Linked DNA regions of Neodiprion lecontei. The protein of the gene in region 1 binds, or shares a complex with, the protein of each later gene. Links are inferred from orthologs where the notes say so. Each region holds a gene or a part of one and is shown on either strand. Other genes may lie near its edges.

Region 1 (3,930 bases):
ATCCAGTGCGATAAAAATGGAATTGACACGAGTTGAAACAAATAAAAACAAATTCAAAAGAATCTCCACACGTTTTTCCAATTCGCTTTAATTCGACTTGATTCCGTTTTTGGACGTACTCAATTCTATTCAATTCGTTTTAGTTTATTGGGTTAAGCACTTCTTTCCACTGATTGTAAATAGGTGTACGATTTGTGGTTCCAGATTAATTATCACGTGTTCATTTCAACACATTGTATAATTAAACCATCAACTTAGCCAGATTTAGTACGCATACGTATGTGATGTACGTATGTCCTCCAATCTGTTTCAAAATCATTGGCATTGGTTAACAGAGTGCACAGAACGCTAGAAATAGCCGCATCTTTGAATACAGAAACAGAATTTACGATATTTTCACGAGAATCACAAAAAGTATGTGAAATCAAAAAGGTTGAGAATTTGACCGGCCTATTTCACTTACATACGTGTACTTGTACTAATGTCAATGATTCACTTTGGTACAAAATAATACTTGAAAATCGTAAAGTGGGGAGTGAGTGTTTACAAGTTTCAAGTCAGTTATGAATCTTTATTTTGACTATTACTGTACACGAACATTCACAGAGCTTAATGTAGTATCTATTTTTACATTGTATAAGAAATCGGTATAATCTAAACTACGAAGGTAGCATTAGAAGGGTTTCAACTTGGCCATCAAATTGGTCCTCCTCATGGCTGCTTTCTTCACCCGCCTCCAGTATTTTTTCGTATCTGGATCCAGCTCTTCCAGTTTAAGAGGTGGGCCTATGTGTATGTCCCAAAGCCAGTCGGGATATTCAGAATCTGGCTTAATCTCAATGTCCTGTCCTTCTTTCATTATATTACTTCCGCACACGAATTTTACCAATTTTTCAGGATCTGTTTCAACTGGAAGTACCTTCCTCTCCAACGGCTGACTTAGTTTCAGCTTTTTTTTCCCCTTTCCGAACATACCACCTGAAACAGGAAATGAAGATAGGACAAAGATGGCACTTACTTTAACTGCTTGCGCAATTAATTGACATCAAAGAAGCAGAGCTATGGTTTTCCATTATCAAGTAGATATATCGAAGTATAACAGTCGAAAGGTAGGAGAAAAGTATTCGACGTTTAAAATACGCGCTCTTGTGGGACAAACACGTGATATATTTTCACCTGTCGGTTGGCAACACGAAATGCCGTTCGTATGTAACTCATAACTTAGTCTAACCTAATCTAAACAATTCCGGAGGAACTATTTTCAATGAAAGATGTGAGAGTTGATATGCATTAATACGTACCGGCATCTGCCTTCGCGTAGCCTTTAATCTGCACGACATATTGTGACGGAACTATAATATTTTTGCCTAAACGAAGCAAACAAAGTGACGAGGAGAGACTCATGATAACACAATCGTGTCCCTCACGCGACCCTCGTGGGAGATAACCAAACTATTTGACCAATTGGACACAACCGTAGAGTACGTATTTGACACTAGAGAGTATGTGCAACAATCACTTCGTTATAGAATCCGGATTTGTGAAAATAAGATTATGTACATATATGACACAAGTCTGCCTTGACAGTTTGACTATTCCATCTGGTTCATCGACATAAATTTATTTCTCATTACTATATTTATGTGGAAATGAAAATCTGGACAGAACAACATCCTTTTGTCCGATTATACAAAATCCATTGATCACGTAAACATTGTAGAACGCTAATAAACTCTGAATTCACACCGGCTATTGACTAATATCACCCAACCTGACCTAACCTAGCTTTTATTTGTCAGCTGAGTTGAAAGCTGTCAAACGGCAATTCCCGATCCATAAATTAAGGCTCTGATCAATTGAATTTCGTTGCACGTCGTTGTACAATGATCACCGCTAAGGTAGGTAGAAACTCGGAAGTTAAAACTTCTCGCAATAAATTAGCAGCGCGGAATAATTATGAATTGACTAATTTTGACTCGTCGAATTTATGTCAATCTTGTAGATGTTCCATTCGCGTTTTCACGAGTATGAATGAAATACACTGAGTGAAAAAGAAAAGAAACACAACAAGAGTAACTTCTCTGTAATCCGTATAAGGTTATCCAAAATGTGCATGTGTACCTAGCAAAACCAAAGAAATATGATATTTGAAGATTGATGTAAGTCTTGAACATTCATGTAATAAACCATCCACTTTCTGTGTCTTCAGGTCACATTTGGTTGTTGCTTGATGGTAGCGTTGGTATAAATGCGGTCTGCAGTCAGTGTAATTCTGTCGAGTTCGGTGCCTGACAACAAGATGTCTCAGCCCGACTATGAGCAGACAGCTCACGACCACGCAGCACTGTTGTTGCTATTGAAGCCAATTGGCACTCAAACGAAGCAGAAGACAGTAACAAAAATAGGAGAGAGAATTATAAAGAGTGGAAGTAGATTTACAGTGCTTGATTCTACCGGTATAACGCGTGAAATTCTTGCCAGATTTGTAAGGGAACATCCAGTTGAAAATAACGATTGGAGTGAATTTCAAACGCACAGAAGACTCCTAGGCCTGATTACTATAGGAAAATATGACAGCCAGACAGAGCTCGATGAGCTCTGTAGACTGCATGAAACTTTGAAAGTGAAATATAGCGCGACCCTCTACGATTCCAGAGCAATTCTTTTTGGACCAGTTGAATCTGAGAATTTAAATGAACCACCGAAACCATTTACGACTCCTTCAAATTTTAAGACAAGGGCGCTGTTCTACGCAGATGAAACTTGCCCAGACCTTGAAGCTCAAATTGCTGAATGTCTAAACTCTCTCTTTTGGATCCTAGAATCTAAAAGACTTGAACGATCCAGGGAAAAAGTTGACCGTGTTCCTTTGCTACTTGCACCGTTTGAAAAGAAGGATTTCATTGGTTTGGACCTTGACTCGGGTACCATGAGAAAGAGGTGCGTCGGACGAATGACCAAACACTTGGGAGATCTTTGCCTCCAGGCCGGCTTACCTGCCGATGCTTTATACCATTACAATTCTGCTGCTAATACTCTGCAAGCTGTTAAGGATTGGCTCTGGCTCGGCGCTGCATTTGAGGGGTTGTGTGCTGCTTCTGTTCTAGTCTTATATCCAAATATGTGTCGGAGTCTTCCCTTACAGAGAAATTCGTCCTTGCAGGAAGGTAGTCCAGGGAAACAAAGGTAAATATAAGTTTTAAAAGTTGTTGAATTGAAAAGTAAGTCTGCAAGGTAATCAAGAATTCCCATTTTCATCTGCAGAAGGGAGTCTCAGGCCTTGAATACTTTGCCACCTTCTCCTAATATAGAGGCGATCAAGGCTGAGATGCCGCAAATTTTACCGCCTGAAGAAATTGCAAAAAAATATCGAGAAGCCATAGTTCACTACAGCAAACACAAAAACGCAGGGGTAATTGAGACGGAAGCAAGTTTCAAGGCGACAAGAATTTCTATAGAACAAAACTGCACTTTGCAGGCAGCTTCTTTTCTCAATAATGTTGTATTCATCAATTTGAACATTAGCGAGCATGAAAAAGTAAGCAAATTCAGTTTTCCACTCATTGCATGTTTTTGAGATAATGCTGAATACGTTGGAAATATTCTGTTCCAGATTGAACGTTTCACTACACTGTCAGAACTGTTCACTGCCTTTGGCTTCACGCGCAAAGCCTCTTTCTGTTTACGTCTAGCTGCTACGAGGCATGTTTCTCAAAATAATCCAAATCCTGATTGGCAGCAGTGTTATAATCTAATGTTGCAAGCGGCACCTGGGCTGAAGCTTAGTCTTGATCCAGTGGAAATGCCTTCTGGTGAGGTTGCGAACAACTTTTCACTAAATTGAACCACCAACAACTGGAAGTATAAACGTCTCACTATTAACTAATTCTCCGGTTTTTCAAGATGGCTTGCGGGGTTGGCCTACTTTAC
Region 2 (3,930 bases), on another chromosome or scaffold:
AGTCTTGCAAGCTCGTGGATAGATACGCTGCTCGCAAAGCTTTAGTCAAAATATCTGTCAACAGCCCTGGCCATCGTTCACCTCGATAATCCCATAGCATATGCATCAACAGTCTAGTAGAACAAAGAATTTAGGCATTTATTCTACTGTTCAATTCACTTGCATAAGCCTTCAAAGGCAGTCGTATAAACTTACGTGAGTGCTTTCCCGTAATCTCGAGAATTGTAATACTCATCAGCCATTTGTACAACTGAAATATTAATTCTTTAGAAGCCAGTGATATTCAAATTAATACATTTGCATAAAGTTATGGTAGTATTCAAACCTAAATGACGACGCATTCTTGGACATCGATAAGTTTTGAATTGGGAAATTGCATGTCCTAAAAGACCGATGATTATCATCTGAAAATAAATTATAAACAACTATTTCTGCTACCAATTTATCACACGCATCACAATATTATCTCTCAGCATTCCTGAGAAATTAATTGACTTACAGAATGGTTGACAGTAGTCTTCTCTTTGTGTTGTAAAGCTTGAATAGCCGCTGCTTCCCGTGCCATGTCTGCAGGCTCAGCACTCAATTTCCCTGGACGCCATGGTCTCTGACCGTAATATTCAAGTTTGTCTTGGCCTGCCAAAGGATCAGGTTCGGGATACTCATTAACATCCTGAATCATAATCAAATACAGGTTTAGATTCATTATAGATGAAATAATATAAACCAAGTCAAATATCTGCTCACTTTGCAAAGATCTCTGCACGCTGTTTGCCGCAAAGTAGCATGCTGAGCTGCCAGCTGAAAGTAGTATCCTGGATGCTGAGTTTGAACAGCAGGAAGACCTTGCCTGATGGCTTCATCAAATAATTCCGCAAACGTGGAGAACTGTCCTGACATCCACGCGTGATGTTCAAACATTAGTTCTTTGGGACCAACTTTCAATTTAAAACTGTAATGGTATATGGAATTTGAGTTATGATATTCCCTTTGAATGCAATCAATTTTCTGGTACTGAGGCCTACTAGTAATTGGTGAAAGATAATCGTACATGTAAAATTTTATATTGTAAAGATATACATACCGATCTGTGTGAGCTCTAAACTGCGAAATAGCATCACGGGGAAGATTTAAGTTGAACATTAGACGACATAGTTTGTAATTTATGAAGCTTGCAACAGTCTTTATTTCCAAAGCATTTGTGTCCACCATTCGTATATCAAGCAAGTTATTGTACGCCAACTGATAATGCCTGTGAAATAAACACTTGCATGATTAGAAGGGATTGGTTCGCGAATTGAGTTATTGAATACAAAAGTGTTAGCTATGATTCGAAGTTCTCAACAAGCTTGTTTTTTTTTTTTTACTAGTGTTGATTAGGTGTCCAGATTGAAATATCACATGAAAAATAATGACAACTTGCTTGTGAGCCATGTGCTGATCCTGTTTCAATTCATTTAGAAAGCCCATCTTAAACTGATGCCGGACAAACAAATATTGATGTGTAGTCTTGTTCAGGTGATCTCTGTGATTTTTCACGATGCGGGCTTCCAGGTGATAGAAGTTTTGGGCCAAATCATAGAAGGCATTTTCCAACCTACATGTACAGATTGTCATTAGTCCTATTCAAACTTGCTGAGCACACAACCAACAAGTATTACACTTTATTATTTCAAGCAACTACCTTAGAGTATAACCCAACAAGTGATCGCCATGAGGTAAGACATATAACGATTTAGCTGGCAATTCACATGCAGCACACAAAGCTGTAGCACGCTCAGTTGTTGCAGCATCTTCAGCGCCTGGTTGTGGCGGTGCTCCATGCTGTATTAGAACTACAGCAATCTTCGTACTTCTACCCTCGATAGCAGCTCTATAATTGTTTGAAGATTTGTTATACTTAGATATATTTTGATTTGTAACCAAATAAATAATCTGATACATGTACCTCAAGGATTGAACTCTCGATGCACATTCGATCTTTTTTTCATTCCACATAGAATCATTCCAATCCAAGTCATAAAATATAACAACGACGGATGGTATGTCATTTAGATATTTATTCATCCAATTTCGTTTTAATATCCCTTTGGGTATGTACCATTCGTAGGAGTTACGCTACAGCAGACATCGAAAGTTATTCGTCATGCCATTCAATTTAAGGGGACAAATTCTTAGTGAAATAACTTGAATATTCGAGTTGTTGTATCGAAGAGTGATCTAATGTCAACAGACCTTTGGTTTAACTGTTGGAAACTCATGGGCATTGCTTAATATTTTAAACTGAACAGCTGCACTGTCTGGCCGGCGATTGTTGCTGAATGCATCCCAAATCAATCGGTGAATCGCATTGTTTACTGTATCCAATCCGGTAACACCGATCAAAGCCAAGGGCTTTGCTGTCAATTCTGCAGGTAGTTCTGACATGGATCAATGGACAAGAACCAGGAATAACAGAACAGAAGTCCCAAGTAGAATCTGTTGTAAAATTAAAAGGGTCACATATCTCAATTTGAAAGCTGTGATAAGTTATTGAGTTCAAACGTTATCAAATCTATTTAGTTTGACATTTCAATTGAGGTTAGGCTAAATAGGCACACTTAACAAAATGTGTTTTAAACCTATTTGAGAATGGTTTGCGCGTAAACTGGGCTCAGCGCTCATGCAGGATTTGGCGATTTCTTCTTTTTCTTAAGTCTTTTAGTTGGCTGTCGGGTCCCTACAGAGACCCCTGTACCACTAGTTTTGATGATTTTTTTGAGTGACAGAAAACTCAAATGATGACAGCTACGGTGTCAGGGCGGAGTAAAGATGCGAAATACGTGGGTAACAGATCGCGTGCTACCGCGCAAGCGTTGGCGAAACGTCTGCTATAGTAAGAACGAATCTGTTATCCACGATGAATTGATTGTGTCAACTCCCAAGCCGATCAAGTCTCACACAAAAAATGAGAAATATGATTCCGAATAATTTTAAAATACACTTTCCTGACGGTCATCACAATTTGCGGAGGTTCTGGGAATAATTAAGGTTGACAGCCTCAACGGAAGAAATTGCGACGCCCCGTTGCAGGCAACCCCGACTACAACCTTGTCAATTTGTAGTATTTACATCAAAACGGCGTTTCATCTACAGATAGGACGTATTTTGACATGTGTGCTGGCATGTGGGATATTTCGGAATGATCCGAAATGAAAAAATCGGATATAGATATACATTGGATCAGTGTCGCGGTTAATACAGAGATCAGTGGTGTGGAGATCAGATTTTTTAATCTGGGAACGTTGGCGTGTGTAGATTTCAAACTTCCTACATCATATTTTGAAATCTGAGTGTCTTTAAAGGTATCGGAAACTCCTAAATAGTAAATTCTTTCCAATATTTTGTTACGATAAAACGTCAACAACAGAGACCACGTCGTTTCGAAATACGTTCATTATTATTTTCAACGCTCTTCCAAGAATAGATTTCGGAAAACGGTGCTGGAAAATGAGTCCCAAGTCGCTGCGTTAATTTCTGAAACCTTAAAGTCAAATAATTCAAATAATTAGCATTTAACCGTACGTTATTTCAGTTGAGTTTCTTGGTCCAATTTGTAAAAACGGGTCGCAAATTGGCAATTTCGAAAAACACGCGACTAAATTTTTCGAGACGCCATGTACACGTAGCTTTGCTAGAAAAAACGTTTGCGCACAGTCTCAACCCATTGCGATCAACGAATCGAAAACTACAACCGAAAACAGAAAAATTGCTTCGTATTTCTTTAGGTGTTGGTCCATTTACGTTTGGAACACTTTTTCTTGAATTCTTCTGGGCCAAATTAATTCAGAAAAGGTAATTGAAATTGATTTTGGGTATTAGTCGATTTCGAAAATGGCTAAGATAAATTTACTCCTTATACCAACGTTTCTTCAATTCAAAAAATTGTTC

Evidence for each region.
Region 2: protein brunelleschi (region 1) and trafficking protein particle complex subunit 11 share a complex: the UniProt entries of both Homo sapiens proteins name them as parts of the multisubunit TRAPP (transport protein particle) complex. The link is inferred for Neodiprion lecontei from reciprocal best matches to the Homo sapiens genes TRAPPC9 and TRAPPC11.

The regions. Positions count from the first base shown.
Region 1 is NC_060260.1:38,738,624-38,742,553, forward strand, and holds the start of protein brunelleschi, read left to right. Parts: upstream 1-1,592; 5' UTR 1,593-1,898; intron 1,899-2,209; 5' UTR 2,210-2,248; coding exon 2,249-3,186; intron 3,187-3,264; coding exon 3,265-3,538; intron 3,539-3,613; coding exon 3,614-3,812; intron 3,813-3,903; coding exon 3,904-3,930. Other genes in the region: 39S ribosomal protein L54, mitochondrial, read right to left, coding at 674-978, 1,302-1,404. UniProt on the Homo sapiens protein: Functions as an activator of NF-kappa-B through increased phosphorylation of the IKK complex. May function in neuronal cells differentiation. May play a role in vesicular transport from endoplasmic reticulum to Golgi.
Region 2 is NC_060264.1:3,294,547-3,298,476, forward strand, and holds the start of trafficking protein particle complex subunit 11, read right to left. Parts: upstream 3,005-3,930; 5' UTR 2,622-3,004; intron 2,479-2,621; 5' UTR 2,428-2,478; coding exon 2,236-2,427; intron 2,119-2,235; coding exon 1,949-2,118; intron 1,874-1,948; coding exon 1,685-1,873; intron 1,598-1,684; coding exon 1,424-1,597; intron 1,253-1,423; coding exon 1,085-1,252; intron 953-1,084; coding exon 748-952; intron 674-747; coding exon 500-673; intron 405-499; coding exon 326-404; intron 251-325; coding exon 196-250; intron 114-195; coding exon 1-113. UniProt on the Homo sapiens protein: Involved in endoplasmic reticulum to Golgi apparatus trafficking at a very early stage.